Sus scrofa: one gene and its partner. The protein of the gene in region 2 purifies or fractionates together with the protein of the main gene of each other region. This does not show direct contact. Links are inferred from orthologs where the notes say so. Each region holds a gene or a part of one and is shown on either strand. Other genes may lie near its edges.

Region 1 (16,454 bases), on a different chromosome or scaffold from region 2:
AAATGGAACCGGCATAGACTATTTCATCTGTCCTAAAATAGTGCCAAAAGTTTTTAACTGAGATTTTCATCTGGGCAGTTTTTTCTTCTTCTTTGTCTTTTTGCCTTTTCTAGGGCCACTCCCGTGGCATATGGAGGTTACCAGACTAGGGGTCTAATAGGAGCTGCGGCCGCTGGCCTACGCCAGAGCCACAGCAACGTGTGATCAGACCTGCATCTGCAACCTAAACCACAGCTCATGGCAAAGCCAGATCCTTCACCCACTGAGCAAGGCCAGGGATCAAACCTGCAACCTCATGGTTCCTAGTCAGATTTGTTAATCACTGAGCCATGATGGGAACTCCTGGGCAGTTTTTTCTAACTCTCCTCCCTGCCCCTTTTGCTACACACACACTTTTGGGAGTCACTCTGGGCCGAGCCCATTGTTGCTGATGGAAATGTACTTTTCAGATGTGTTGAGGTGTTTAAAAAAGAAGGTTGAAAATGATTTTCCTAAAAACCTATGTTGACAGTTCTTCACAGGTTCTGGGTGCACACAAACACAATTCTTACAAGAAGTGCCAATGCAAACTATATACCTTTCTTAAAGACCATCCTCTAATTAAGACAGAGATGAGCAGTGGCAGTACTGATCTATAATAATGACTACCATTTATTGAGTGCATAATCTGTTTCAAGCATTGTTCTAAACAGTTAACATGTGCTGGTTAATTTAATCATCATGGCAGCTCTATGAGATAGATAATATTGTTATCCTATTTTAGTTGTGGAAATAGGCACAGAGAAGTTAAGGATCTTGCACAAATGCAAGATCATGCAGATGGAGTTGAGGTTCCAAGCCAGGCTGAGTGGCTTAGAATTGCCATCTTAGCTACTCTGCTAGTTCATGGCTATTGTCACTCAGGGAAAGCCTGCCTGCAGCCAACAGGTTTACAACTAATTTTCCTTACAGAATTTTTATTGAGAACAGTTAGGAGTGCTTTTCCCCATAATTAAAAACACATTAAAGTGCTACTTCTATTAAAGGAGCTTCCAAAACTTACTAAAATGATGTAACAAAATACCACTTGCCACGTGCTAGAAACTGTACTCAGTTTTACATGTGTATTAAACCATTTTGTCTTCAATCCTCAAAACAATCTCATGAGGTAGGTATTGTTAAGGAAACTCAGGTATAGAGGGGCAAAGTTACTTGCTCAAGGTCACACAAATAAATGGTGGCACTAGGATGCAAATCCAGGTATTCTGGCACTAGAGTCTCAGCTTTCAGCCTCTAAGCTGAGTATCAAAATGCAGAGTATTGGAGTTCCCACTGTGGCACAGCAGAAATGACTCTGACTAGGAACCATGAGGTTTCGGGTTCAATCCCTGGCCTCGCTCAGTGGGTTAAGGATCCGGCGTTGCTGGCAGCTGTGGTGTAGGTCACAGATGCGGCTCAGATCCTGTGTTGCTGTGGCCCTGGCATAGACTGACAGCTACAGCTCCGGTTAGACCCCTAGCCTGGAAACCTCCATATGCTGTAGGAGCGGCCCTAGAAAAAAGACAAAAAAAAAAAAAAAGAACTGTCATGTAAGCATTTCTCATGTATTTTGTTACATCACTCAACTGTCTAATATAAAATGGCTTAACAATTATTTAAGACAAAAGACAAAAAAAAAAAAAAAAAAAAAAAAAGGAGTTACCGTCGTGGCGCAGTGGTTAACGAATCCGATTAGGAACCATGAGGTTGTGGGTTCGGTCCCTGCCCTTGCTCAGTGGGTTAACGATCCGGCGTTGCCGTGAGCTGTGGTGTAGGTTGCAGACGCGGCTCGGATCCAGCGTTGCTGTGGCTCTGGCGTAGGCCGGTGGCTACAGCTCCGATTCAACCCCTAGCCTGGGAACCTCCATATGCCGCGGGAGCGGCCCAAGAAATAGCAACAACAACAAAAGACAAAAGACAAAAAAAAACAAAAAAACAAAAAAACGATTATTTGTACTTTAATTCCAATTTTCTTTATATCAAAATCAGCAACATTTTCCTTAAATGTTTTTTTAAACAAGGGCTTACTAAAGTAAACATGGAAATATTTTCATTTTCTTTTCTGACTATTACCCAAAGTTAGCCCTTGGCAATATGCTAAAAAAGCAACAAAGCATTTTTTTAATAGTTACCTTTCTTATCAGATGTCTACTAAACTTCTAAAGGAACACTTAAAAAAAAATTTTTTTTTTTCTGATTCCAAAGCCTTTTAGCTTCAGTTAAATGGAACAAGTTTAGGCTTATTCTTTAAGTCTAGAAGACTGTTAAGTGAATATTGACCATCACATGTGTGTTCCAGCTATTAAACACTAATGTAAGAGCTGTTCATACCTTTAGAGAAGAGGGCCCAGATCACTAAGATTTGGCTCTATGAATTCTTTTTAGGATAGCAGCTCTTCACAATTCTGAACCTCTTATATCTGAAAAAAATTATTTTGTGTGTCATTTCAGGATTTTCCTCTGGAGACAGCAGAAGCAAAGTATATGTTATAATTGCCTATACAAGCGCTTAAAACCATCCCCCACCGCTCAGCCAATGCAACCTCTAAAGGGCATGTTTTGGAAATATGAGTTTTCTTTTTTCTGCTTTTTAGGGCTGTACCCATGGCATATGGAAGTTCCCAGACCAAAGGTTGAATCGGAGCTACAGCCACGGGCCTACACCATGGCCACAGCAACACAGGATCCCTGACCGACTAAGCCAGGACAGGGATGGAATGCAGCAACCTTGTGGTTACACTGTTGCTGTTTCAAGGTTATACTGTTGCTGTCTTCTTGTAATGATTATACACACCACATTCCCACACTCATCAGGGGACTTCATTGTGTCTCCTGGTGTAATTGCGTCTAAGCACTTACATACTGAAATAGAAATGAATTATATCCACTTATCTACTTTATATTACAATTAAGTTAGTAGTATATACACTTTAATTATGTGTGGAGACATATTTATGAACTTCATTTCAGGATAATAAAGACATATTTTTTTTTGGTCTTTTTGTTTTTTTAGGGCCACATCCGTAGCATTTGGAGATTCCCAGGCTAGGGGTCTAACTGGAGCTGCAGCCGCTGGCCTACGCCACAGCCACACCAGATCCAAGCCTTGTCTGTGACCTACACATGGCAACACTGGATCCTTAACCCAGGAGCGAGGCCAGGGATTGAACCTGAAACCTCATGGTTCCTAGTTGGATTTGTTTCTGCTGCGCCACAACGGGAACTCCAAGGGGACATATTTTTAATAAAAAAGATGTGATGAGTTTGGCCGGTGAGATTTACTTAGATGTCAGCTGTACTACAAGAATGTAACTTACGCAGATGGAAAATATAGCTGAAGATGACAAATGTCTGTTTCCAATAGATTAGTGAAGTAAAGTTTAACACTGTTTTAATCAAATGTTAAGGAAAATCTGTTCAATGCTTAACTTTTGCATTGGAACTCATAAATGTCACAGAGTGTTCTTTTCTGATGAGACAGCATGTACTAAACTTTCAGATGGCTATGCAGATGAGCTGATATCATCCCTGGACGGGTAGGATCAGTGCAGCTTTGTCCCAGTCCCTCCTCCTCTTCTACCCTCAGATGCTGATGTGTAACAGAAACAGAGCTTTGTTAGGTGGTGGGCCTGTGGTTTTGGTATATGGAAAAATCAACTTATTGCCACCATCCTCCACGTTTCATTTACATACCATCGTACTGACTAAAATTACTTAACATTCTTACTATTTCTCTCTTTACTATAAAGCCAAATATTTGGTTCACATTTTACAGACACAAGCTTTTAAAAAGGTCAAAGAGCTGCTAAAATAGTTTACTGCAGAAGAAGCACATTCAAATGGTCAAATGTATCTGTATATTGTAATTAATTCTTTCAGTAAATTGTGAAAAAAGATAAAGCAAAAATTTATAAGAAATTTGGTTGATAAATAGTAGCCAAGGTAAATGCATACAGAATTCTAATTTTATTTTATTATGTTTTTAATATTCTTTTATGTATCTTCATGCCTTAGATTTAAAAATGATTCAGATTGGCAAACTCAGAAATTATGAAGGTGAATGGTTAAGATTTTAAGTTTTTTTTTTTTTCTTTTTAGGGCCACACCTGTAGCATATGGAAGTTCCCAGGCTAGGGGTCCAATTGGAGCTGTAGCCGCTGGCCTACACCACAGCCACAGCAACTCAGGATCTGAGCTGAGTCTGTGACCTATACCATAGCTCATCACAATGCTGGATCCTTAACCCACATAGCAAGGCCAGGGATTGAACATGCATCCTTACGGATACTAGTCATATTCTTAACCAGCTGAGCCACAAGAGGAACTCCCGAAATCTTAATTTTTTAAATACATAAGCAGTAGGCTCTATTAAAGAAAAATTAAAAATGAACTTGTGGTCCATAAATTCTTCTAAGATAACTTCCACTGAATGTGAGTTGGTTTGATAAAATTTAAGTATTTTCTTACAGTTATGTTTCCAGCCAATAAAGTTAAAATTTTATTATCAACGAAAGAGTAAATGAATATTTCTTCAAATTAAGCAAAATCATTCACTCAATAAACAAATTAGTTTATAAATATTAAGCTGAAGGTTGTGCATAAACTTGTAATAAAACAATTCAAATAAGGCAAACAGAATAAATCATTTATTAAAACACTGTGATAACAAACTTTCTGACCCAATGCTATAATGGTAAATATTTCCCCTCATTAATATTCCACTTAAAACAGGTAAATCACAAAACAACATGACCAGAATTGAAAATACTTCTGTCCTTTACCACTCAATGACTGAACAATGATCTAGGTTTTCTTTTTTTTCTTTTTCTTTTCTGCTTTTTAGGGCTTCATTCACACCATATGGAGGTTCCCAGGCTAGGGGTCTAATCAGAGCTACAGCTGCCGGCCTATGCCATAGCCACAGCCACACCAGATCCGAGCTGCGTCTGTGACCTACACCACAGCTCACAGCAATGCCAGATCCTTAACCCACTGAGCATGGCCAGGGATTGAACCCACGACCTTGTGGTTCCTAGTCGGATTTCTTTCCACTGAGCCATGACAGGAACTCCGATCTATGGTTTTCTTGATGAGTCAAAGATAAAGGATGATAAACTCAAAGACAATTGAAATCCTACACACTAAAGGTTAAATTTTATTTACCCTATTCACTGGTCCAAACTTAAAAATTCTCATTATATCAAATAAAGATTTCATGAATCATTTCCTTCCTGCCAAAAATAAATATTAGGAACAGATTAAGGGTAAGAGTCGGGTTTTAAACTGCACTTTATTTGTTACTATAACATTATCTTTCTTAAAAAACTGATCAACCATAAGCATGCAAAAAGTCCACTTCTCAATGGAACTGCTTCCATAGCCCCTTGGATATAAGTAAGTAAACTATAAAGGCTGTTCAATTTGTAGCTCTCTCTTTTATAGTACTTCTAAGCAGTGTGTGAGACACATACCATAGAGGTAGGAAAGACCATTTTTAATAAATTATCTTCTTAATTGTAGAGCATTTCTGAAAACAACACCTCCTCTCCGAAAAAAAACTGAAAAAGACTAAACCATGCCTTTGATGAGTCCCAGGGACCACAGATCCATTGCCTCCTATTAGAAGAATTAGTCCCCTTGGAGAGTTCTAGCCTTGGTAGAGCACTTGATAACAAGAATCCCCAGGGCTCCACACAACTGCATGAAGAATACCTTCCACCGCTCTCATTTGCCGATTCTTTGGACCACCCAGTCCTGCTGGCAGAGAGGGCAGCGATTGTTCTGTTTCACCCACAGGGACATGCAGCAGTTGTGGAAGGAATGATTACATTCTCCCCAGACCACTAAAAGAAGAAGAAGAAAAAAAGAATATCTGACAACATATTTTAATTTAAATTACTGAGCTCAAAATTCTATCTTATTTTATATTGTATAATAATTATGGTTCATAATCTTGAATAAAGGCGGTTAGCTGGTCAAAAGAAGAAATAGAAACTTTCTTAAATCACACTTAAGAAATGAGAGAAGGCACTGTGTTTGGGAACTTTCCATCATTTCAGAATCTGTGGGTGATGCAGTTCCTACATAGCTCCACATGCTGTCCTTCTCAAATTACAAGATTAAAAACTTAAGTTTTCCTTAGATCTCATACCATCTCAGTCATACACTGACCTCAGAGACATTTTGGGCTTTATTTTATTGAAAAATGTCTTCCTGATTTTTATTCACCAAGATATAACGAATTTTAAATGTTTTCAGTTCACAGTAGGCTATTTTAAACAGAGAAAAAAACCACCCATAATCTGGAACACAATCTCAAACATGGGCTTTGTTTGCTCCTTGCTTGACCAACTGAGCTATAACAGAACAATGAAAGAAACTGGAAAAAAAGAAAAAGAAAAAGAAAAAATCCTTATGCAAATTGGCTGTAGGGGTAGGAAGCAAGGGGGACTCATTTTAGGTCTTTTGGGAGGAAGAAACAGGGTTTGGTCAAAATTACACAAATCATTAATAAGCTGCAGGTAAGCCATACTAACACAAAGTACAAAGTTAACCTTCTATTCCAGGAAAATCTTTAACACTTTTATATAGCAATCTAGAAGTGATAACCTAAAGAACCTAGACATAAAAACCTTTGAACTACTTAAAATACTTAGCCTAAAACAACTTCTCTAGTAAAATTTAACAGATTTTTATCTGTAAACTACATTCCAAAAAAATCTTGAGAATAGTTTCTACCTTAGTAGAAAAGTTAAAATACTGGATCATAAGAGTATTGAATATTGAAATGCTGTATTAGAATATAATCCTGACTGATAAAAACTGACCTGTAACATACTCAAAATTTAAAAGATATTTTGACAAATTTCTTACTTTATACTATTCTTAATAAAAGGCAATTATTTCTTTTGTGATTATCAAAACGTTTATCACACCTGTGTCTAGAATATATAACCAATTCTTAATTACAAGCAACTAAAGGACTTAAAGATTAATTCCATTTGAGAACTGGCCCTTTGAGAACCAACACACTTTATATTAATAATGGATTACTGCTTTACAGTTTATTTTATGTATTGATAAAGTCAATCTTAATAGCAAATTCAAACATCCCCACTGAGAGAAAATCTTCAGTTGAAAAAGGAAGAGAACAAAATTACAACATACCAACACAATCCTCCTGTTTGTTTTCAGCTTGACATCTAAGACAGGCATCTAAAAGTAAACAAATAGCAATTCTCATTCTGATGCTCTGAATGCAATTTTTAAAACCCATACACTTCAAAGTCAAATAAAGGCCCAAAGGGTTATAGATGAAGATTAAAGGACTCATATTATTACTTTCTCATTCGAACATAACTGCTTAAAGATGAATAAAGTGCAAGGAACTCTACTAATTTACTTATGACCAGGAGCAATTTCACAAGGGTTATTGACCCTCTATTTTTACAAATTCTGATGAAAAGATGTCCTGACAGTGGATGAAACCACCAGAGAAAAATACACCATACTCCACTATATTAGGAGTTGTTACACGCTCACTGGGCATGCTCACACAGATCAATCTCATGGGTAGTATATTTTCCAGACATTCTTTTAAAGAAACCACACATATATACTGGTATTTGTTTACAAATACATAGAAAGTCTAGAAGGATACTCAAGAAACTAATAATAAAGTTTATCTGGGAAGGGATAAAATGGGAAGGACTTTTAATTGTATATTTTCTCAGATTTTTAAATTATGTGACTGTATAAGCTTATGTCTTTTTTTTTTGGCCGCACTGGCAACATATGGAAGTTCCCAAGGCAGGGATCAAATCCAAGCTGCAGCTGTGACCTACAGCTGTGGCAATGCCAGATCCTTAACCCACTGTGCCAGAGTGGGAACTCCTTTATATGCTATATGAAAATTAAATGTAAAAAAACTCCCAAATACCTAGTTCTCTTTTTTTAGTTTTTAAGGAAATGCTCCCTTTACAAATATGTCTGAGGCCAAAGCATTTACCTAATGGTAAAGTATTTTAATAAATTACTTGGGAGTAAATATGAGGAGTGGGAACAAAAGGGCATACTACAAGTTTTCAAAATTCAGTCAGTATTAATTGCTTGATGGAGGTAATAAAGAATATTGTAAGAACCAATTAAATGGATTCATTCACTAGCTGAAAGGAGTCAAACCTGGGTAAAAGGAAGTTTAAACCAACAGAAAAAATAAGTTTTAAACATAAATTGGAGAAAAATAATTCTGTAAAAATAGAAATAGTGGAGTTGAAGCCTGCTTCTCTTCTTACATTAGATTTTGCTCAGGCATTTGTTTGCACCACTCTGCATGGTCTTCCCTTAAAAAACCACACCACCCTGGCCTCTTCAGTGTGGATTACAAACAACCAACATCTCCTGACGACTTCTTCAATTCCACAATTACTGAGTATTTCCTCTGTGCAAAGAGTTATGCCCTCAGGACACCAAAATGATCGAGTCTGGATCCCTGCTCTCACCAGCAAATGGGGAGGTAGAGAGGCAAACAACTACATATAAGGATCATGATATCAGGGTGAAGACAAGGCCCTGATTCTGTGCAATCAGAGAATTACAGTTAATGACCCCAATTGCCTTTTTTACAAATTGGGAAAACAAGGCTCCAAAAGGTTATGTCAAATGTCCCAGTTAACATGCAGCTCTCGGTTTTTTTTTTTTTTTGGTCTTTTTTACCTTTTCTAGGGTTGCTCCCGTGTAATACGGAGGTTCCCAGGCTAGGGGTCTAATCGGAGCTGCAGCCACTGGCCTACACCAGAGCCACAGCAACTCGGGATCCGAGCCGCATCTGTGACCTACACCACAGCTCATAGCAACACTGGATCCTTAACCCATTGAGCAAGGCCAGGGATCGAACCTCATGGTTCCTAGTCAGATTCGTTAACCACTGAGCCACAACGGGAACTCCAGCTCTCGCTCTTTATACCTCTACAGTACTAGCAAACCTATTCCCCTTTTCCTTGTCAGTGCTTGCTCACTGTGTCATTTGCTCCTTTCAGAATGAAGGGGGTGGGGGTGGGGAAGAGTGGAAACAAGGAAGTGTTAACTACATCAGAATGGGTGGACAGGTAAATCTTAGATCAAGAAGTCATAAAAATTTTGAAATAACCTACAATGGAAAAGAATCTGAAAAAAAAAGTGTGTGTGTGTGTGTATTTGAATCACTTTGCTGTACACCTGAAACACTTTTAATCAACTACAATAAATTTTTTTAAAAAAGAAGTCATAACAAATCATTTAGATGTATGAGATGAATTCTGAATTCCAAATATTAAGGAAGTGGGATTAGATAGGCTCTTTGTAGAATCTAAAAATCTCTGAATTATGCTTATAGCTTTGATTTAATTATTTAAAAAAAAAACAACTGACCTAAATGTATAAAAATTCCTAAAGTTTCAGATAAAAGAAAACATTTTTCCTTTGGTGATATTCCTAATATCTAAAACAGCACATTTCTAAGGAGTACAATAACAGTAACACCTTTAAGAATGACGCTACCCTAAGGATTGGCAAGTCTATAAAACTTCCTTCTGCCGTCACCTGACCACTAAGTGGATTTTAACACCTTATAATCAAAATATAGAGGTCTAGTCCAGAATACTTTCCTGAATCCAAAGTACAGCTGTTGTAAATCTGCAACATTAATCCACAGTAGCGGAATACTTGCTATAATTAGAAAGTTAATGTGCCTGTTAAGTCATTTAGAGCCCATACTTTGACCAGGAAGGTTTATTTGCTGCCAAATTTCAACCATTATTTAAAACTCTGCATTTCTATTTACAAATTTAAAATTTTTCCCTGGGGAGAAGAAGAAAATAACCTTTCAGAAAAACCTCTTTTTTTAATCACTTAGGGGATAAAATTTTTAACAAAGTTTTTTCTCATAAAAGAACAAAAATTGTTTGGATAAGTCAAAAATGCCACTCAAAGCAGAAATTATGATTTCAGTTTTTAAGTAAGGAGTAGGGTAAGGGGGCTGTATTGCAGGCCAATAAACAAGGTATTTTTAAAACCTAATATGCAAAACACGTGGATCATGTCTGAAATAAAATTCTTTTAAAAGTAAAAAAATAAATATATGATATCTCATTGTTGTAAATCTGCTTTTAAAATGAGTCCTTATTTTATGAATAAAAAACAAGAAAACATACTACAGAGAGGGTAAATGAAGAAACCTCTTGATTCTGGCAGTTCTGAATTTTCATTCCTCAAGAAGGGAGAGTGATTTTTTTTTTTTTTTTAGATTTTATTTTTTCTTTTATAGTTGATTTGGTTCCTAGTCGGATTCATTTCTGCTGCGCCACGAAGGGAACTCCTTATAGTTGATTTGAGAGCAATTTTTGAGTTATTTTCTCCAAAACTCTGATTTTTCGGTTTAAGATGTAAAAGCTTTCAAACTATAGAAACCTCGGTTTCATTTAAGATGCTCTCACAGTGATTTTAAATGCCCTATTAAAAAAAATAAGGATGCATTTAAACAGCATCTCTTTTTCAAGGTGTTCTGAGATCTTAGAACAGAAACCATATAAAATATAACAGGATGAAGCTGTCCCGAAAGGTTTCACTTGGTCCAATATTTTTAAAAAAATTTATAGAAAGAAGTGACTTATTTGTAAAAGAAAATTCTCCACAAAGGCCTATCAGGACACTGTCTTCTCCAGGAAATGGCATCCTTTGATAGCGTAGGGCCAGGAATGAGATTAAAATTTATGTTTCTGAATAAAGGGCTTAACATTCTTCTTCAAGACAAGCTACTGCCATCTGACCAGTCTTGAATCATCCAAGTTTTAAAGCCAGCAGAACAGTAGCTAATCCCGAAAGGCAACAGCTAGGGACACTTCTTTCCTGCGCCTCTCCGGAACAAGACTAAGAGTCATTACTGTGGAAGATGACTCCAGAGCATCACTCTGGTGTGTGAAAAGAAGCATTAAAACGACCCGCTGACTCAGGGCCTTGACCGTGACCTCTACAGTTTGCTTTTAGAAAAGGGTGGCGAGGTTGGGCCCACAAACCAAAGTGGTGCCTCGCAGCTCCCATCAACTCACCTACTTTTATTGTCTTGACCACACCCATCACTACCTGAAATTACCTTTTTAACTGCCCTGCTTTCCACCTGTTTCGTTCCCCAGACTACCAGTCCCCGTCGCCGGCCGCAGCCCTCCGACTAGCAGCAGCACGGGCGTGGCCCCAGTCTTTCGCTCCCAGGCAGGGCGACCCCGCCCCTATACCTCCAGGAACAGTCTCTCCGAGGCTCGGTGTGTCCCACGGGCCGGAGCTGGGCCCGCGGAGGCCGCAGCACAGCCAGGGTCTCGAGTGCAGCGCTTACCCATCACCTGGACCCTGCAGATGGCGCACGTATCGCACTCCACGTCCCAGCTCCACATGGCCACCGCGTTCCACTTCTTCAGAGAGAACATCTTGTCGCCTCCCGACTTGGTTCCTGAGCTACCGGAGTGAGAGGACAGGGCGCAGGGCTCCTCGCCGTCTTCCACGTCTGCCATGGCGGCGGCGCGAAGCCGGCGGCGGAGACGTTAGGTTGCGGAAGGCGGGCGACTATGGCGGCTCCCTGGGGCCCCTCGCCGGGCCACAGCGCCGCCCGCAGGCTGCGGGCCACCGTGGGGCCTACGACGGAGGCCGCCCGAGACTGGCTGGCGCGTCCCAGTGACGTCACCGCCCCCGCGCCCTGGGCCCGGCCCGCTCCGACTCTTTGGCCAAGAATGGGCGCCGCGCTCAGGAGGGTTGCCGGTGCAGGAAGCAGGTGTTCTGCTTTATGCCTTCGTGACCCTTCTGGCTCTCACAAGTTGTCATATTGATGTACTCCCTTCCTAAATGAAAACGCCATCGGAGCGAGGACGTGACTTGATCACCACCTTCTCCTGGGTATGTGAAAAATGCCTGGCCTCAGGAGGGGTAGTTATTTGTTGAGTGAATGAATGACTATCTTTTAGAAATCTGGTTCAGCCGTTCTCAAACTTTTTGGTCTTGGCACCCCTTTACACTTAAGAATCACTGGAACATTAAAGAACTTTCGGTTTGTAAAATATGTGTACACACAAACACACACTTTTTTTTTAAGAAATACGAAAAAAATTTTAATGTATTCACTTAAAAAATAACCATAGGAGTTCCTGTTGTGGTTAAGCGATGAGGAACCCGACTAGTATCTAGTATACATGAGAATGCAGGTTCAATCCCTGGCCTTGCTCAGTGGATCGGTGTTGTTGTGAGCTGTGGTGTAGGCTGGTAGCTGTATCCGATTCAGCCCCTAGCCTGGGAACTTCCATATGCCACAGGTGTGCCCCCACCCCCCGCCCCCGCAAGGAAAAGCAATAAACCCATTACAAGTAATCATTAGAACAAGGATATCACATATCTTGTAGCTTTTATAAAACTCCACTGTATACTCACAGGAGAAAGTGAAGAGAAATAGCGGTGAATATTGTTATGCAAATACTTTTGACCTTGTTTCCCCTGAAAGGATCCCAGGAACCCCCGGGGACCACACTCTGAGAACCTCTATCTAGTCCAACATCCTCCTTTTATTGATAGGAATGTTGAGGTCCAGAAAAATAAGATAAAGACACACCATTATTCCCTAAAGGTAACTGTTTTGAATCCAGGGTTCTTCTGCATCTAGCCCGGGGTCATATTATTATGTTTTCCCAAGCAAAGCAGATAACATCTCTATTTAAATAAGAAAGCTGTGGTATGGAGAGCCCACGAAGATGCCTGATCACCACTACCACCTAGTGGTGGACACCTGCTGTGTCGGGTTTGGAATTCAGAGCCTCCCACCTTTTCCTACTGGGCCTCATCCCCTCCTCTCCTGATGTCTGGATGGGGGCTAGAAGCTCCAGAAATCTGGCGGAGGAGGCAAGGAAGCATATATGTGTGAAAATATAAATGTGGATACATTTGGGTCACATTTGGCTAGATGCTGATGGAAGAGGTGACGTTTGAACTGGGGGAAGATGGGAGGCATCGGAGGCCCGGAAGTGGGTGGAGAAAGCAAACCTCTGCAAGGCTGTCAGGTTGAACAGAGCAGTAGTAGTGGTGGCAGATGTAAAGTTGACCCCACTAAGTTTATGAGCCAGACAAAAATGCCTGTAAACAAACCCAGATGAACCATAAAGGACACACATTTTACTCACATTAAGCTACCACACATCTGACTAGAGATGCTATAAATGCCAGATAGTTAATTTAAAAAAGAAGGCTAGAACCAGATGAGGATAAAATGCCCCCAGTTGGGGGGAACTGGGCAGTTTGAAAGAGAAAAGGAGGGAACTCAGATGAAAGGCTAGAGGATGATTAAGAATGAGAAATGGTAGGAGTTCCCTCTCATGGCTCAGTGGGTTAAGGACCTGGCATTGTCACTGCTCTGGCTCAGGTTACAGCTGTAGTATGTTCAATCCCTGTCCCTTCTGCATGCCCTGGGTGTGGCCAAAAAAGAAGGGGACAAGGAATGGTACATGCTTATGCCTCATCTGAACCTCTTCACTCTGTTCCTGGCTTATTGTGTCCTGACTTCTTGTCTGGCCTCCCCATTCAATCTAAAGTGCCTGTTTAATCTGCTTAGATCCCCCTTTCCACCTGACACTAGCCTGCTCAAAATGTTCCATGGCTCTCCATTATCATCAGAACAAAATCTAAATGTCCCAGCTGGTCCTTTAAATCCTGCCACAGTATGGCCCCAACCTACCTTTCTAATGTTATCTCCAAGCACTCCTCTCTGAGACCCTCATCAGATTAGTTGATTCAGCCATCCAAAGACACCTTAGACTCTTCTCTTCCCCCGACTCCATTTAACATCTCTGGAAGTGGTCAGAACCTCCCTCTGTCTGCTCTAACTACATTGCGTTTGCTGTGAGGAAAACTAATTTTCGTGTCCTTACTGACCACTCTTTGCTACTATTTATGCATTCCTCCCAGAAAAATCATAGCGCTTATTGTGTTTCTTCCACTCTTTTGGCACTAGGTCACATAACAACCAAACAGTGCTGTTACTGATGATTATCAAACAATTTTGAGTTTTTACAAATTGATAGCTCATAAGTGATAAGACCTTTAAAATAGGAAAATGAGTATTCAGTGGGAAAAAAAGCAAGCACTGTCAATAGAGTCTCCAGAAATTGCTCTGTATGTACTAACAAACACAGAGCACATCAACTCACTTGAATTTTTAAAATTGTGGTAAAAATACACATAACATAAAATTTACCATCCTAACAATTTTAAAGTGTAGAATTCAGTAGTATCAAGCACATTCACATTGTTATCAACCAATTTCCAGAGCTTTTTCACCTTCCAAAACTGGAAGTATACCCATTAAACAACTCTCCATCTCCCTCTTCTCCCTCCAGCCACCATGCTCCTTTCTGTTTCTGAGTTTGACTACTCTAAATATCTCATATAATTGGAATTGTACAATATCTGTCTTTTTTGTGACTGGTTTACTTCACATAGCATAAAGTCCTCCAGGTTCTTTCATGCTGTATGTAGCATGTGTCAGAATTTCCTTACTTTTTAAGGCTAAGTGATATTCTTTTGTGTGTGTGTGTGTGTTCATTCATCGATAGATCCATAGGTTGCCTCCACCATTTGATTATTATAAATAACGCTTTTATGAACATGGGTGTACAATTATCTCTTCATGATCCTGCTTTCAATTCTTTCTGATATAAACCCAGAAGTGAAATTGCTGATTCATGTTGTATCAATTCATTTTTAATTTTTTTTTTTTTTTTGTCTTTTTGCCTTTTCTAGGGCCGCTCCAGCGGCATGTGGAGGTTCCCAGGCTAGGGGTCTAATAGGAGCTGCGGCCGCTGGCCTATGCCAGAGCCACAGCAATGTGGGATCCGAGCCGAGTCTGTGACCTACACCACAGCTCACGGCAACGCCAGATCCTTAACCCACTGGGCGAGGGCAGGGATAGAACCCTCAACCTCATGGTTCCTAGTCGGATTCATTAACCACTGCGCTACAATGGGAACTCCCTTAGTTCATTTTTAATATGAAAAATTCACATATACTCTTATCTGGGCTTTTCTTTATCTTTAATAGTATGACTAGGACATCTCTCCATATAAGCACTTCCATATCCACATTATTCTTCCTAATGGCTGTGTGGTAGTTTTCCACCATGTGTATTTCCTGTGGTTTATGTCCTGGAGAACCCTTTGAGACATGTAGCTGTTTCCACTGTGCAATGAACAATGCTGCAGTGAACATCTTTATACACATTTCTTTGCATATGTGTGAGGTATATCTGTAAAATAAATTTCTAGAAGTAGAATGTTTGAGTCAAGGCTATGTATTTTTCATTTTGATAGACATTGCCAAAAGACCCCTAAATAAGCACACGGATTTTACACTTCTACCCAGTGGATGTCAGTGGGAAATCTTTAAAAAAGTTTGTTTTGTTTTGGTTTTTGAGCAAGAACAATTTCTCAGGAGGGCTCACACATTGGATATATAAGTTCTGGAGACTTGTTAAATTGATGTCACTACTCTGTAGGCTTCCTTACCCTAAGGATTTATACTATTTCAACTCATGCTCTAATGTTTTTTACTTTTAATGTATGAGGATCTTATCTTCCTTGTTAGATGCTAATCTGCAAGAGTGGACACAATTTTCTGTACCCAACCTCACCTCCTCAGTTAGTTGGGTTCCACTAACTTCCTAGCACTTGTTACATTTTATATGTTGGATGAATGACAGGGTTTGTTTTTATAACTTCAAAATGAAGTCTTAAGTCCTCAGCCACCAGAACTGCTGCAGTGACAATGCCAGATCTTTAACCTGCTCTACCACAAGGGAACTCTGATAGGTACCATTCTTATCTGTATCTTACAGAGGAGAAGTTTAGGTACCTGGAGGTTAACTGACTTGCTCAAGGTCACCCGGAAAGCAGCAGGATTCCACAGAGAATTCTGGTTCATCTAATTGCCTAGCCCATGCTTTTTATCCCTGTACTGTATACAATTTACCTAATTCAATTTATCATCTATGCATTGATCAGGATACTGCTTCCATTTCCTTTGGAGCTATTGAAATCTTACAGAGTGTGGAGGGTAGAGTGATCAGAATTTTCCTCATTTGGGGAAGATCCCCATTGTTAGGGTTGTTGCCTTTTAGAAAGTGGTTATTTTCCCCCAAAATCCCTATTTTTCCCAACCATAGATATATTTATGAAAGACAAGTCTTTCTTTCTTAAAGATCATGACTTCCTTCAAACTATAAATTTCACACGCACAAGAGAACAAGCTTCAGAGAAGAATCCCACTTATTTTTACCAAGGCTTATTTATAAAGTCAACATTTTAGAAAATGACAAGCATGGTAGGACTAACACTACTTTGAACTTTCATTAAGGAGTCTTATCAAATCTTACAACT
Region 2 (16,354 bases):
TGAGCAAGTTAATCCCCGTTCTGTGCCTCAGTTTCCTGATCTGCAAAGCAGGGATCCAGGTCAAGGGCAGCAAACGGATGCACGCATCACTACTGAATCCAAGGCAAGTACCATCTACTGGTCACAGACTCTCTCCTTTGGGGCCCAGATAGGGCCTCAGAATCTTCCGAACACAAGGTCCCAGATTTAGCCCTGCTACCCTGCCTGTTTGGAGGGCAGCCACGGCAGAGCCGGGGCTTGCTCACTGGGAAGCTGGTGGCTTTCTGGTGGTTTATGTCTGATGATCTCAGCCACGGAGCTTCAGAGCAGGGAGGGTGTTCTGAGCAACTGCCTGGCTCATGTGATGATCCTTAGCCGGGACCTCGCCTCCTAAGAACCGCCAGGGAGCCTGGAGGAGCATGCTCTCCTCTCCCACATTCCTGCAAAAGCCCTTCTGGATGCATCTGACGAGGCTCAGCCCCTCCACACTGGACAGCAGGGGGTTAAAAGCTCTAATCCCGGCCCTGCCACCTACTAGCTGTGTGACCTTGGCAAGTCACTTAACCTCTCTGTGCCAGGACATCCTTATCTGAAAAATGTGATTGAAAACAGACCTGCCACATGGGTAGCTGTGGGGAGGTAAGTGCCAGACACTTCACGACACAAGGGATGAAAAGCTGGACGAACCCAAAGCCACTTCTCCTAGTTATCTGGCTGTGTCAGGAGGTCCTTCCGCAATGACATTTCAGTGAAGTTTATAGATGACTAGAGAGCCCGTGGGAACAGGGGCCCGGACCATCCAACCACCCTCACCCTCTAGAGAAGAGCTCAGCTCTGGGAGGCATGATTTCTTGGGGTGCTGCCCAAGCGTACCACGCCTGGGCCCCACCACCCCACTGGGGTTCAACCTTTCCCAGGGGACACCTGGCAGTGCCTTAATTCAAACTCTGGGAGCCTTGTCTGGAAGCAGATGTCTTTACTAGGGTGCAACTCAACAGAAGCGCCCAGCACCACGAGTGCCCATGTGGAAGCCAGTTGGGAAAAAACACAACTTGGAAAACTTCAGTTATTAAAAAAAAAAAAAAAAAAAAAAAAAAAAAAAAAAAAAGCAGCCGCAGTAGCAGCAGCAGACCCCCCCCCCAACCCTCCAGAAATGAACTGTGTTGGTTCAACCTGAAACCCAGGAACTCACTTCCCACCCTCAGGCTCAGCCCAGCACTGGGTCAAACGTGCTCCTACTGGTGAATGCAACCACTTTCAGGACCTTTGGTGTTTGGTTGATACTGTCTAGACACCTCTGAGGCTGAGATCCTGCCAGGCCGGGCCAGGGGGCACAGGAGGGCGCTGGGGCTAGGGAAGGGGTTGCTGCAGAGGGCGGTGGCTGTGAAGTCCTCTTGACAGCAGAGGTGGTCAAGAAAGGTAACCACTGGCACGGCCTGAGCACCGACCAGAGAACCCACCCCCGGCAGCGGTGGACCATTAACCTGTTAGCTGTCGGCTTAAATGGAGGTGGGGGCGGGGACCTGAGAAGGCCAAGGCTAAGCCAGGCCCTGAAGGGGAGGAGGGGCCCTGACCAGTGGCTGTGACCAACTGGTACGGACGTCCATCAATGGTCTAAGAACCCAATGGTGCCTCTGAGGCCTGGGGACCCCACATCCTACAGATACATGGTGGCGATGCTGAATGCAGGGGCTGAGCCTCCCTCCCCGCGCCTCCCACCTACCTCCGCAAGCCTCAGACCAGCGTCCCCATCCTGCCCAGTACCTGTGGCCACTGGCTGTCAGGACTCTCTAGGATATAAGGTGACCTGAGGATGCTATAGTCTACCTGACCCCAAATGCACCTACACATCTTTCTGCTCTGCCTGTCATTGAACTGCCACCCGCTCTGGTTCCCGGGTCAGGGTTTTCCCCTGACTATGTGCTCAGCCCTCCCCGGCCCCTTCCTCTGGGCCCCAGGGCTGAGCATCCCCAGTCAGGAGGAGGCGGGTTTCCTTCAGAAGTTCTGCAGCAAGACAGCCTGGGGCCCTGGAACCCCAAGGACTTGCTCTGTGTGTCCAGGAAAGCCCCCTCCCCTCTCTGGGCCTGTCTGCCCACCTGTACCTGGAGGGAGTAACCACAACTCAGCCAAGTCCCCTCTGACCTGTGGCTGGAAGATGCTACTCAGCGAACTTGTCCTCTTCGGGAGGACACTGGGACTTATGGTCCCATGGGAAGCCAGTGTGTCAGAGCCCCAAGGCCACCAGGGGCCACAGCCATGGGCATCCAAGGCCCCAGAGGAGCAAGCCAATGGCAGAGCCAGGTCTGGGACCATTGCTCCAACAACCCACCCAGCTGCTGGCTTTCCAAGGGCCGGAAACCACATCTGCTTAAACCTCTACCAGATCCTGGGGTGGGACTGAAGCAGGCTCTCAGCAAGGTCACCTGCTCAGTTGTCACCTGAGTGGCGCCGGGGTCGCCAGTGGCTTTAATCATGTTGGGGCAGACAGTGCCTCTGAGTCACTGTGGCTCCGTGGAAATAGGGAGGTGTCAGCGAGCAGGACTCGGACACAGAAAATGCGCTCTCTCTGAGCTGAGCCTGCACCCCATCAAATGGGCTGGCAGCTCCTGCTTGGCCCCCTTCAGAGCCACATGAGAACGAAGGACGCCACAGGGGGCACAGGGATTCCTCACACATGTGGTGCCTTTGCACCAGCTGACCACAGCCATGACTCCAGCGCTGGCTCACAGTAGCCAGTATGCCGATGCCTTCCCCCCCAGAAGCTCAGCTTTGCAGCAGAACAGGTGAGCAGGATGCGAAGATGTTGCCAGGGGACGCGGGTGTAAGACAAGCCCACGTGCCAGGAGACTTGTAGGCTCTGAGACCCTGTTTGGGATGAAGCTCTTGTTTCCATGGTGACTGAACCAGCAGAGAAAAAGCAACCTTGGCTGCTCTGAGCACAGGGCGGAAAGCTGCCCCCTCTCCTCCGACTGTCGGGTCTCTTCTGGTTAACAACCGACATGCTCTCTTGGGTCTTTCAGAAGCCAAAGCATCCCAAACAGGGGTCTGGGTGCCCTGTCCCAGCCCCTGCCCCACCCCCACTCCTGCCAGGCGCAGGGCTGAGGACCTGCGCCCCTGGAGGGGTCTGGTGAAAGGGACTTCACTGGGCAGGGCGCCATCTGTGCGACATTTATTGTACCTAAGGAAGCCCTCTGGGCTGAGGTCTCCCCACCCCACCCCCTGGGCCACGGCTTTGGGGAGAAAGCTCAGAGTCAAGAGGAGAGTTTCACAGAGCAAAGAGGGAGGGACATGGGGGCCCTGCAGTGAGGTTGTCCAGGAAAGTTCTCCAGCCACAGCTCAGAGTTGGGGCCAGGGCTTCCTGGCTGGCTCTGCTCTCCCCAGACCACCCTAAGTTCTGCCCTGGCCCCGGGGCCCCGGCCCCAGGAATGCAGCTTTCTGCAATTCCCGATGGCAGAGACGCCCTGGGATCTCATTCATATGAGAATTAATGTGGGTTTTCTCCTCCTTGATACATCTGTCTTCGCTCTGGGCAAAGCACTGGCCCAGAGACTGGTGAGGTCACAGCAGCAGCCCCAGCTGAGAGGGAGGCAGCCCCCGGCCTCATCTGTCACCAGGTGCCCTTAGCTTTGGGGACACCGCTGTCCTGAGACTCAGTGGAACCGTCGGAGGAGCCGCTCCTTCCCGCGTGGCCCGGTTACTGGGTGTTCTCGTACTTCAGGTATCTTATCAGCCTGCCTGGCAGTGGCAATGTGTCCAGGAGTTTTATACGGTATTTCCAATGGCCTTTCGAACCTGCAGCCGGCAGAGGTGAGCCAGAGGTCTCGGAGGTTCTGGAAAAGGAGAGAAAGAGAGGTGCCGGTGGGTTGTCTGCACCTGTGACCCCTGGCTCGTGGGAGGTCCCCTGCCCATGTGGCTGACAAAGAGAGGGGGCGCCTGGACTCCTGCCGTGCTCCATAACCCCGGGCCCTGCCAACTGGAAAGATGTCAGCCCACATTCATCTACACAGCCCAGGGAAGTAGCAGGGTGGGTTCCAAACCCGCTTCACAGGGGAGGACTTGGCAAGGATCACACCTGGGACTAGAGCTGGCATTTCCCTTGTCTCACGCTCCTTCCTCTGTCAGCCCAGACTGGCCCCTCCCCACAGCCTTAGCAAATGCATCAGAGGGTTCCACCTCTGAAATGCCCCCAAGGGTGGTATTCAGCTCTGGGCTCCGGGTGGGACAGGGGATGGGGACTGGGCAGCTCCCCGCAGGTCCCAGAATCCCACCGGGCTGCCTCCTCCAGGATGCCCTCTGGGATGCCTCATACAGTGGGAGCTAAGAACAGAGCCTGAGGCATCTAGTAATGGCATAATTTATTTCAGCCCTGGAAACAGGTGGGTGTTTTGTTGAATCAAGAATGCCAGCATTCGTTCAACAACCAGATGCTGACACCTTTGCTGTGCCATCTTGGGCCAGAGATGCAGGGGCGCCCCACTCAGGGACTTTGGGGAAAGGTTTCCACACTAGATAGCGCTTCTAAGCAGGGTCTTGATGGGTGGGTAGGACTATGCCAGGTGAGGAAGGGAGTCAGGGGCATTCCAAACAGGGGAAGTGGCAGTGCCAAGCCAAGGCCACTGTCACTCAGGAAGATGGCGCTGCAGAGAGGCCAGGCGGCTGCAGCCCTGCCTCACTACATGCCTCAGCACTGCATTTCTTTTCCTTTCTCTTCTTTTGTTGTCTTTTTAGGGGGGCACATGCAGCAGAGGGAGGTTCCCAGGCTGGGGGTCCAATCAGATCTACAGCCTCCAGCCTACGCCACAGCCATAGCGATGCAGGTACCAAGTCACATCTGTGATCTACACCACAGTTCACAGCAACGCCAGATCCTTAACCCACTGAGCGAGGCCAGGGATCGAACCCGCATCCTCATAGATGCTAGTTGGGTTTGTTAACTTCTTAGCCACGCCAAGAACTCCCCATCACTGCATTTCTGACACTTCGCTGCCCTCTGATCTCACTCAGGGCAGAATCTGTCCTCTGGGAAGCTCACCCTCTTCGGCAGCTGGGTGCAGACAGAACATGAGCGGAGGGTGGCAAAGGGCCATTGGTGGGCAGAGGGCGCTGGGTACCAGGCTGGCGTTCCGGCTGGCTTTGGAGTCTCTGGGATAATGACACTAACATCCCAGCATTAACCGAAGGAGCAAACAGGAAAGGGTTTTGCAGATGGAGGGTGGGCTTTAAAGTAACCAAAACACGTACAGGTGAGAACTAGTTGTTCTTCCTGTTAACTGTTTATAGCACACTAACAGGTTCTGCATTCTTTTTTCCAGGGACGGTTTAGTTGTAAATTACCCTCCCCAGGCAGGGCCAGAAGGAGGGGATAGGGAGGGGTGGGGTTGACATCGAAGCATGGACCATTCTACCTTCTAGTGGCCAGCATCACAGTGACAGCATCCGAAGATTCATTAATTCAATGACTGTTTCTTGAGCGTCTAGAGCTCCCGTGAGTGGGCAACTCAATGCCACCCTCCCTGTCACCAGCCCAGTAACTTTATCAAGGGCCTCAACTCAAGGGCTCCCAAGTTGGGCACATGGAAAATGCTACAGCAGGTTTGGGTTCACAGGGGAGGAATGTGGCAAGTCAGAGTCAGGGCACTGGGCTGTTTGGCACTTGGACGAGCAATGAGGCAGCCTTCCCACCTGCGGATGGCAGTGGCAGACCTGGGGATGGCAGCGGCAGTGATGGGACCATGATAAGCTTCTGCGGGTCAGCCTCTGTGATACATGATTGACTAGCATTTGACCAGGGATGGGACAGTGCCCCTCAGAGCCAAAGGAAGCCCTGGGGTCGCTAGAGCTCCTCAGACAGGCATCTCTGCCCAGGATCAGCTGCGGCGCCCAGCTCAACTGCAGACGCCTCACCTGCCCAGGTGAGCTCCATAATTCCTTAGAGGGATTCTTGGCCTGACTTAGCCAGGCTGCCCCTCCGACACTGCATGCAGCTGCATGTGGCCAAACCCCACCTCACTGTGCCAGGCACCGCCCCCCCCCCTCCTGCAAACACCCTGGGCTGGCAGAGCTGGGATGGAGCTGGGTGATGAGCCTGCCCAAACTGCTCTGTTCAGACAAAGATGCTGAGGCCCAGATGAAGGGTCCTGCTCACAGTCACCCAGCAAGCCCCTGGTTCCATAGCTCTGGGGGCCTGCCTCCTGGACCAGTGCTGCTCCAGGGGTGGCCTGTGAAGCCGCAGCACTGACTCTGCCTGGAAGCATGTGTGAAATGCAGACTCTTAGGCTCCGCCCAAATCTGCCAAGTTAGACGCTGCTTTTTTTCTTTTTATGACTACACTGGAAGCTCCCAGCCTAGGAGTCTAATTGGAGCTGCAGCTGCCAGCCTACCCCACAGCCATGGCAGCAACGGATCCAAGCCACATCTGTGACCTATGCCACACAGTGCAGTAATGCCGGATCCTTAAGCCACCGAGGCCAGGGATGGAACGCGCATCCTCACGGAGACGACGTCTGGTCCTTAACCCACTGAGCCACAATGGGAACTCCTAGACCCTGCATTTTATTTATTTTAGTTTTTAAGTTGGGGGCGCACCTGCGCCATGTGGAAGTTCTTGAGCCCAGGTCAAACCCACGCCACGGCAGTGACCCAAGCTGTAGACTCTGCATTTTAAACCAGATGCTCAGGTGCTGCCGAGGAACTGTGCAGTGTGAGATGCCCTAGCAGATCACCGCCTCCTCTCCCCACCACACGGCTTCCCAGCGGCCCACAAACCTGGGCACCCTCCTCGAAAGGTCCCGATACCCCTCAGGGAGCTGGAACTGTTTAAAACATCCTGGAAAGACTTAGCGAAAGGGAGGTCAGGGAGGGTCCACCCTAGGTTTGAATCCCAGCTCTGCCACTAACGAGCGGGGAGACATCTGCCCAAGTGACAGTCTGTCTGAGGGTTCGTCTCCCCAGTTACACAACAGGGAACCATCGTGACACCGTGTGTGACACACAGCACCGAGCCTGGCGTGAGAAAGGTGCTCATCAAAGGTCAGCCACATGTCACATGTCCGGCGTCGGAGCCCTGGGTCCGGCAGGGTGCCCTGCCCGCAGCAGCCGCAGCAGCAGCCCTACCTGCCTTCTCCTTGATGACAGCCCAGTCCTCGAAGCTGTCGATGTGCTCCTTCAGCCGCGAGCAGAGCTGCACGTTGCCCACGTAGTCCAGGAGGACGTCGATGATGGGCCCCGCCCAGCGGCTCACCTCCGGGGCAGACAGGATCTCGCAGAACTGGAAGAGAACAGCCCCAGCGCTGGGACCCCCTGGACCAAGGGTGCCGCCCCAGCAAGCTCCTCCCACAGCTGGGGACCTGGGAGGGGGAGGGCAGACCCCGCGCACGCTTGGGGTAGAATCCACGTCTCCAAGGCACACCCTTCTCTCCAAAACACAGGCTTCTGCTGCCAAAAGTGGGAGGTGGGCAACTGGGGCAGGGCACACACCCTCCCTAAGCCTCAACCTTCTTGTCTGGAAAAGGGGCACATAAGGTGCCCCGTTAGCACAGCAGGGAGCACGTCAGTCACACAGAAAGCGGGCCTATCATACCAACTTCAAGGGGTTTTATGAGAATTAAGGTAATATAAACAGAAACTTCTTTGAACACAGTAGACGGCCCATGAATGATGGCCATCAGCCATTCTAAGTATCTCCAAGAGAGGGTGTTTTTGTTTGTTTTGTTTGTTTAGCTTTTTTAGGGCGCATGAGCAGGCAGCCAGGCTACGCCACAGCCACAGCAACACCAGATCCAAGCCGTGTCTGCAACCTACACCACAGCTCACAGCAACGCTGGATCCTTAACCAGTGGGTTAACACTGGAGTGAGGCCAAGGATTGAACCCACAATCCTCATGGATACTAGTCAGATTCGTTTTCGCTGTGCTCATTGGGAACTTCCTAGAGAGGGTGTTTTAACTTTCTTTTCATTTTACATTCTGACTTTTTTTTTTTTGCATTTTAGGGCCGAACCTGCAGCATGTGGAGGTTCCCAGGCTAGGGGTCAAATTAGAGCTACAGCTGCCAGCCTATGCCCCAGCCACAGCAACGCAGAGTCCGAGCCGCATCTGAGACCTACACCACAGCTCGTGGCAACGCTGGATCCTTAATCCACTGGGCGAGGCTAGGGATCAAACCTGCAACCTCATGGTTCCTAGTGAGATTTGTCTCCACTGCACCACGAAGGGAACTCCCATAATCTGACTTTTTAGGTCATCACATGGACAGCCACTGTCCCTGAATCATTTACTTCCTGCATCTCATCTCACTTCATGCAAGCCTGCTCTCGCATGACTCCACTCCAATTCTGGTCATTCAACATCATATTCCAGGGGTAGGTTTGCTGGGGATGATGAACCCCTGAGTGTTGCACAGTTCCCCACTGATCCCCTGCAGCAGAACCCCCCCAACCCCCCCCTCCAAAAAACCCTGATTTGATTGTTCATGTGAACCACTGAGTCCTGCTGCCTCTAAAACCTGCAGGAACCACTAGGTTCCTCTGCCTTCAATGAGCGCCAAGTACCAGTTTACACTCCCTCCAAAGCGCATTAACCATTGCTCCACCCTGCTTCTAAACCCTATTAACCACCCTCTGCTGCTGCTTTCAAAGTGTAGTCCACACTGCCCGCGGAACGGGTGAGCCATGGGGCCACCCGCCTCCGGGGCGCTCTGGCCCTGGCTGCACTCCCCCAGGCGCGCCCACCTACCTGGACCACGCCGGGCGGCTTATCCGTGGCGGGCGTGTCATTGAACCTGTTGGAGGGCGGCGGGGGAGGCGGGTGCGGGCCGTTGCCGTATAGGCACGAGAAGCAGGGCTCGCCGTTGCAGCCGAGGTCCATGAGGAATTTGAGCAGCGACAGGCACTTCATGGCGAACATGATGGTGGCGGGGAAGGCGGTGGGGTGCGTGGTGATGTAGGCGTCGATGTTGGCGCCGTGGTCCAGCAGCAGCTGCATGGTGCGCAGGCAGCCGTGGCGGATGGCCACCAGTAGGGGGTTGATGACATCGCGGTTGGGGTCGGCGCCGGCGAGCAGCAGCAGCTCGGTGGCATACACGTTGTTGTTGACCACCGCGAAGTAGAGCGCGGAACTGCGCCGGTCCTCGTAGAGGCGCGCGCGCTCGGGTGCCAGCGGCGCGTTCACGTCGAAGCGCGCGTTCAACAGAGCCTCGAGCACCTCGTCGTTGTTGCGTTCGGCCGCCAGGTGCAGCGGGCTGATGCCGCTACGGCGCACGCGCGTGCGGCTGGTCACCGGCAGCAGCATCTGCACGATCCTGAGGGCGGGCGGGCACGCGCGGGTCAAGGCGGGGCCAGCACGTTGGGGTGGGGCCTGCCGGCAGGGGGCGCTGGAGGGGGGCCAGGCTCCGCCACTCACAGCTACGGCGGCGGGGGGAGGCGCTGGCTCACCAGCAGGGGGCGCCGTGGAGACAGCCGTTCTCGCAGTTACCACTTGGGGGCAGAATGAGTGGGCTTTACACATACGGAAACGGACGCTCAGAGAACGTCTACCAACCACCTTCTCAAAAACACATAACTGGTGATGAGTGGAGCTGGGCTTCAAACCCAGATCCCTTAGTCTCCAAAGTCTGAATCCTTAAAAACCTCAGCCAAACTGGACTGTGGTTTTAAGAGTCGCTTGCTGACTTGTTTCAGGCTAAAGAGTGTCAGCCATTCCAGCTCACTTATCTGGGGGGACAGAGCAGAAGCCCCCCAACCTGCAGTGGAACACATGGCGAAGCTTGGAGCTGCCCCTGCCCCTGCCCTGCCCAGGGGAAGGGGAAGGGGAGGGGCAGAGACAGCCGTGTCCAAGGGCTCCCTATGTGCCAGGGGACCTCTGAGGACCTTACAAACACGTTTGTTTTAATCTTTACGACAACCCAGAAAGTATGTCTCGTCATTCCCATTTTTTTTTTCTGATAAAAAATCAAATGCTCAGGGAAGTTAGGGAACTTGCCCAGGCCATACATCGGGAGAAAAAAAAAAAAAAAAAAAAAAAAACGGATTTATACTCTCCTCTGACTCCAGGACTGAACCATCTTGCTGTCCTGGAGTCCTGGTGAAGCTACCAAGTCCTGCGGGACAGGAGGGAACAAATGTATCTGGACCCAACCACTCCTGCCCCAGGCCCCAGTCAGCCCTCAGTAACCACGAGGTCCCCTCCCCCGTCCTGTGAGTCTCAGTGCCTCCTGGCCCGAAGGCTGACACTAGCCCAGGCTCTCTGTCCTGTCTGGGAGGCGGAGGCTGCAGATTCTCACCAGCCCTGACTCTGCTCTGTTCTCAGCTCTCAACCTGCATTCTCCCCACGGCCCTGTGAGGTAGATATAGTGTTACCCTCATTTCCAGGTGAGGAAACAGAAGCCCAGAGAGGGCATGTGACTTGCCCAAGGATACACAGCCAGTAGTTGATGGAGCCAGGATTTGAACCCGGGTAGGCTGATTCCCCCGAGGGTGAGGGCCACACTCTACACCACTCCCCTACTTCTTGTGCAGCAGTCAGGTGACAGCGACGAGTCATGGGGTTTCGCATTCTTCACACGGTGTTCTCTTGGCTGCCCCACTTTGCCTTTCACTGGGGCCCTGTGGAGTGGCTTCTTTTTAACGGAGGGCGCCAGAGAGAGGAAGTGACTAATCAAAGGCCAAAAACCAGTTCTGGGGCTTTGACCCCAGGACCCTTGACCCCTGTGTCTGCTTTCTGTCCCTAGACCCGGCCACCTGCCAAGCTGTTGCCACTGATGTGATTCCAGACCCTAATCCACTCAGTCCCTGCTGACAGGTGACCTCATGGCCCCGGGTGGGCTCCAGGGAGGTGGCCATGGCAGGGCAAATGGGTGCCACTAGGCCTGTTCCCACGCCTCTCTGCCTCTTGGCACTTGGGATTCTGGGGCTTCTGGCTTCCTGGAAATCTGATGCCAGGGACCTCCCGTTAGGATCTCAGTGGAAAGCATTATTATGGTTAGTGACGCTGTGTTTGCCTAAAATCGGCCTCCACAACCTCCAAAGGAAATTCACACACCCCGGGGGGGCTAATTGCCTCCTAATTTCTATTTGTGCAGCCCAGGAGGCCTGACCTCGCTCTGGAGAGGTGTTGGTCAAAGGCAGGGCTGGGGCCTCACCCTGGACCGCAGCCATCGCCAACAAATGCTCCGTAACAGCCGTAACATATGCCCAAGCACGGGAAAAACAGCGAGAGTGACTGCCCGGGGCCGCTGGCCAGATGGGCTGGTATCACTGGCAGGTCCCAGCTGGTCCCAGCAGTCCCCTGCCGAACCAAGGGAAGGAAAGTGGCAGAAATGTGGGAACGTGACTGGATGCTGCCAAGAGTCCCAGAGGCACTGTCTTCATAACGCGATAAAATCACCTAATTGCTATACGCGTCTGTAGCAGTGGGACAATGGCCAGGGCCTGGAGGAGCGTGTCCAGCCTTCCATTTTAAAGGGGGTGAAATGGAGACCTGGGTGTGGGGTGGGAAAGAGGGAGGTGGACTGGAGGTGGATGGCAAAGCTGGGGCAGAATGCCAGTGTCCAGGAGTTCCCTGGTGGCGCATGGGTTAAGGATCTGGTGGTGTCGCTGCAGCAGCTCGGGTCGCTGCTGTGGCGCAGGTCCAATCCCTGGCCTGGAAATGTCCACATGCCATGGGCACAATAAAAAAAAAAAAAAAAAATGCTGGTGTCCAGAATATCCAAGGCCAAGTCTTTCCATGGTGCCCCAGTACTCCCAGCCCTGAATGCCGGTGGCCCCACTGAATGTCATCATTTCTCTCCCCAGCCCACTTGGTGGGATAGTGAGCAGGAGGGTCAGGGGAAGACCCCACAAGAGAGGCTGGGACCTTCCCACTTCTTCCACCGCAGGCCTGGGACCACGGGTGCTCAAAGTGCACCCTAAGGAGAGAACAAAGGTACCCCTTGCTTGGTAGAAGCTTTGGTGTCTGGGAGGCCCTGTCCCCCTCTGCTCCTTTCCCCAGCAGGGGCTGCACCCACCAGCTCAGGCTCTGAGAGCAGAGCAGACCCAGCTTAGGGCTGTTCCAAGGATGCCCAGAGCAGCAGCTCAACCTTGGACCCCAGTCCCAGGGCCCCTGCCTCATTCCTAGGACCCACCAGTAACTGAATCCCATCCTCCCTGTCCCAGGCCATCCTTGCTCCGGGTCCTGGGTCCCCACCCCAGACTTCAGTCTCCCAAAGGCTGCTACCCTGCCTGGCTGCCTGTTTCTGGCTCTGGTGTCCCGACCCCCAGCCCAGCGGCTGGGACTAGGGAAGAGAGCTTTGAGCCAAAACAGGCTGTCCTTAGCAGCGTGGGGTCCCACATGGACCAGGGTTACACCACCAGCTCTGCGTCTCAGGGCTGGGCCATCTCAGGCAAGTCACTGAACCTCTCTGAATCACACCTATACCAGAGGGGCAATGAATCACAGCAATGGTGATGCCACTGGTGATAGCTACCCTTTACTGAGCCCCTGTCCATTGTCGTGAGTGTTCACCCTCCTAAATTATAATTACCGTAATACCGCTGAGCGCTCGCTATCGGCCAGGTGCTGTTCAAAATGCTTTACACATTTACCTCATTTAATCCTGGAAATGATCCCATCAGCAAGTACTTCATCTCATGTTCCCTCCATAATAAGCCGGCAAAGTGGGATCACCATGCCCAGGTTGCAAGACACAGTTTGATACCGCCTTTCAGTGAGGCTGCTTCTGAAGACAGAGTGAATCTTGCATGTTCAGCTGCTTAGCATGGAGCTGGCCCTCCCTACACGGTGCTGTTGGAGCCTTAACAGCCTCAATGATTGCATCTCCCTGACCCTGCTGCACCAAACGCCGAGGTTTTTTGGCTCCTCAGGTCACTTTGTCAGCATTCAGTGCAAATTTCACTGTGGACTTGACTGTCCAAAGGGAACCAGCCCCACAAATGGCCTTGCTCCCAATACCAGGGGCAGTACTATGTCTGTGTGTGTGTGTGTGTGTGTGTGTGTGTGCGCGCCTGCGTGTTTTGGGGGTGAGGGGATTACCTCATTTTTTTCAGCCAGTAAAGGGCACTGACATCCTTCTGGGGGAACTTCCCCTGGGGCCAGAATAGGTGAGCAGTTCCTCCCTAAAGGGGGAAGAACAGGCCCCAGCGGCTGGCAGCTCTGTGCATGAAGAAGGGAGCCTGGGGCGTCCTGGGCCCCGAGAGGGAAATCAGAGCTTGCTGACGATGCAAACTGCTTGCTCTCAATCCCTGCACCCCTCAGAATTCCTGAGGGAACCCTGACATGCAGATTCCTCGGCTCTGCCATCAGGCTCTGATTCAGCAGGTCTGGGGAGGAGCCCAGGAGTCTGAGGTGGGGGAGCCTCGCATCCCGCCTTGAGGGATTTTCCTGCAAACTTTCCTCATTTTCCTCCAGCAACGGCCAACGCGAAACCAGTTTCCTGGAGTGGATGCAGTTGGATAAAGGGGCTCATCCTCCTATTTTCCGGGAGGACCTGAGCTCTGAGCCTCAATTTCCCTTTCAATTAATGGGGATACAAACCTGCTTGTGAAGGTGCCACATAAAATGCATTTTAATTTAATGTATTAAATGCTCTTTGTTCTTTTCCCAGAAAGAGTTTTCAGTGGCTTGCAAAGGAAATATAAATTAGAAGTAAAAGAGATCCAAAAAAAAGTAAAGGAGAAAGAATATTTAAAAACGAGGGGGTCCGAAGTAAGGCCCCAAACGCAGGTCAGTGTTATACGGTGTCAGCCACAAATTCGACCCTAAGATACTGGTTCTCTCCCGGAATGTCTGGTAAAATCATCTGGGCAGCTTTTAGAAATTCTGCAGCCCCAGCCCCAACCCAGATTACTTACAGCGAAATCTCTGAGGGTGGGGCCCAAGCCTCAAGGTTTTAAGAGTTCCCTTGGGGTTCTGCTGTGTAGCCAAGGTTGAGAACCACGGTTTCAGTGCTACTCTAAATTCAGGTTAAAGGAATCTTGCAGTATCTGCTTTTGTCTAATACAGTTTCCTTCCTTCCTTTTCCTTCTGGCCTCAGCATGCATCAGCTTGATAAGGGATCCCAGTTCCCAGACCAGGGATTAAACACAGGCTGCAGCAGTGAAAGTGCCAAATCCTAACCCTTTGACCACCAGGGAACTCCCATTTATTTTTTCAAACAGTTTCTTAATAACTCTATCTTTGGAGTTGAGTTTCAGTTATCTTTGCTAAACTGGAAATGGAAAATAAAATGTGTCTTGGAGATGCCTAAGCTTTTGGGGTCCTGGGGACTCCATTCTCAGCCATGTCCAAAGGTCATGCCCTCTAGTTAAATGTGCCGAAGGGAGGGCACCACCCGGCAAACCCTGAGACCAGCTGCAGGAGCAGCTGCAGGAGCAGGCAGGGTGTCCTGGCAGGTGGCTGAGTGCAGAAGGTCCAGGGAATGTCACATTAAGTCCCCAAGCAGCCAATAGAGGACAGTGTGGAGTGGGTCGCAGGCCACATGTCCAGGGAGTGAACGCAGCACTGGGGACTTGCCTGGCTGTGGGCTCTGCCAGGTGGCAAAAGCTGCTGGGAACCTGGCTTTAACCCTTTGTAGGGCAGCCCTCAAACAGCGGAGGGCCCCTCTTGGTCTTAGGGTACATAGGGATATGGTGTCTGAGACCTGAGGGTGAATAAACAGGGAAAGGCTTCAGGAGCCAGCAGGAGAATTGGGGGGACATAAACCATTCACATAGGGGGTTCCAGAGAGAGCCAGCCTAGCTCCGTCACCATCCTTGGGCACATCCAGCATTCCTTCAAACTCCCTGCCAGCTGGGGCCAGATTGCCAACATCTGGGTCCATTCGAAGGCATCCAGGTGTGACTAAAGGATGCCAAATGACAGCCTCAGCTCTGCCAGGCTCTGGCAAGCCACTTCCCATCTCTGGCCTTGGTCCCTTTTCTGAAAAATCAGGCTTGGGTCAGTGGTCCCCTCACCCAAAGGTCTGGCTGGGCTATGTCTGGTTGGCTTAGAGCTTCTCAAAGAGAGAGTCTTGGGCTCCTCCTCTCCTGGAAATTCTGGTTCCATGTATCTGAGATGTTTCATTTTAAAAATAGCCCAGAGTGACTGCATTGTCCATGCAAGTATGGGGAGCCAATGGGCCAGGAAATTTCTAAGGGCCAGCCCTCCCCTCCCTTTCTCTCTGGATCTCTGGGGTCAGGCTAAGATAAACATGTTTGCTGACTGATTGCTGGATCTTTCTGGAGCTGAAGAGAAAGGTGCCATCTTGCCCATCACCTCTGTCTGACTTTGACCTACTTTCAACCTTCCACTGGCCTCATGGAAAAAATGATGGACTGTACCCTCCCTATGTATGAGAGAAAGCAGACCCAGTGAGCACCTACTGTGTGCCAGGTGCACTGCTGGGGGCTTTATCTCCTTTCTATAGACACCTATGTCCATTTCACTGCTCCCTACAACAACCCCCGAGGCAGGTGCAACTACCTCCCATCTTACAGAAGAAGAAACTGAGCCTCAGAGAGGTTCAACAACTTTCCCAAAGGCCTCAGCAAGAGTTCAAACCCAGTTCGGTCTGCCTTGAAGCCTGCTATTCGGTCCAGAGAAGGTGGGGTCTCCTCTGAGCATGCGTGGGGCAGGGAGAGCATCCTTGGTTGGTCATTTGTGTGGGTACCTGCAGAGCAGGGCCTGGGGCCCAGAGGGTCCGCTCTGTCTCCTTGTGTCTCTGTTCCATTCTCCGGGAATGGCACTCACCCCCACTTCCCTCCACCTTAGCAAAGACAACCCACACCCCGACACGCACACAACCCTCTCCCTGCTGAGCACAGGGCTGCGTCTCTGGGGTCCACGAGATGGGATTCTAGGTGTGGATTTGCTTTTTCTTCATTGCCAATTGGTACTTAATAGTGTGATAAACGTTACCTTTTAGAACATAAACCCATTTTAAATAAAACTGTCTTTAAAGCAAACTACTAAGAAATGAGGATATAAACATCAAAGAAAGTCTATGAATGCTCGAAATTGGGGGAACACCGGTCACGTGGAAATTACCGGGCCCTGCGCATCCTGCACACGCAGCTGGGGTCCTCCTTGTCGAGTCTTCCTAGACCCTCCGGCTAGCGGTGATGCTGGCGGAGGTTTAACAACTGGCTCTCTAGGGGGAAGAAGGGGCTCTGATTTCTAACAACCACCAATGTCCATGGTGTAACTATTCTCACCATGGCCAATTTCAGACTACCAAAGCGCTCAGGCAGGTGGCATGAGCTGTACAAGCCACTTCCAACCCACTTCTACTTCCGGTTCATGCTCGTCTCTCTCCTCTGGGACAGCCACGGAATTTAACTCGCCGTGCTTTCACTTCGTCACGAAGTCCTGTCCGTGCGCGTCTATTTGCCTCTTCTCTCCCACCA

Evidence for each region.
Region 1: the proteins of ASB2 (region 2) and RNF7 purify together in Homo sapiens (affinity purification with western blotting; 3 studies listed by BioGRID and IntAct, with this or other methods). This does not show direct contact. The link is inferred for Sus scrofa from reciprocal best matches to the Homo sapiens genes ASB2 and RNF7.

What each region holds. Positions count from the first base shown.
Region 1 is NC_010455.5:82,543,724-82,560,177, reverse strand, and holds RNF7 (RING-box protein 2), read right to left. Parts: upstream 11,704-16,454; 5' UTR 11,559-11,703; coding exon 11,384-11,558; intron 7,234-11,383; coding exon 7,186-7,233; intron 5,862-7,185; coding exon 5,743-5,861; 3' UTR 5,290-5,742; downstream 1-5,289. UniProt on the Homo sapiens protein: Catalytic component of multiple cullin-5-RING E3 ubiquitin-protein ligase complexes (ECS complexes), which mediate the ubiquitination and subsequent proteasomal degradation of target proteins.
Region 2 is NC_010449.5:115,207,759-115,224,112, forward strand, and holds the end of ASB2 (ankyrin repeat and SOCS box protein 2), read right to left. Parts: intron 9,277-16,354; coding exon 8,712-9,276; intron 7,247-8,711; coding exon 7,093-7,246; intron 3,810-7,092; coding exon 3,742-3,809; 3' UTR 3,127-3,741; downstream 1-3,126. UniProt on the Homo sapiens protein: Substrate-recognition component of a SCF-like ECS (Elongin-Cullin-SOCS-box protein) E3 ubiquitin-protein ligase complex which mediates the ubiquitination and subsequent proteasomal degradation of target proteins.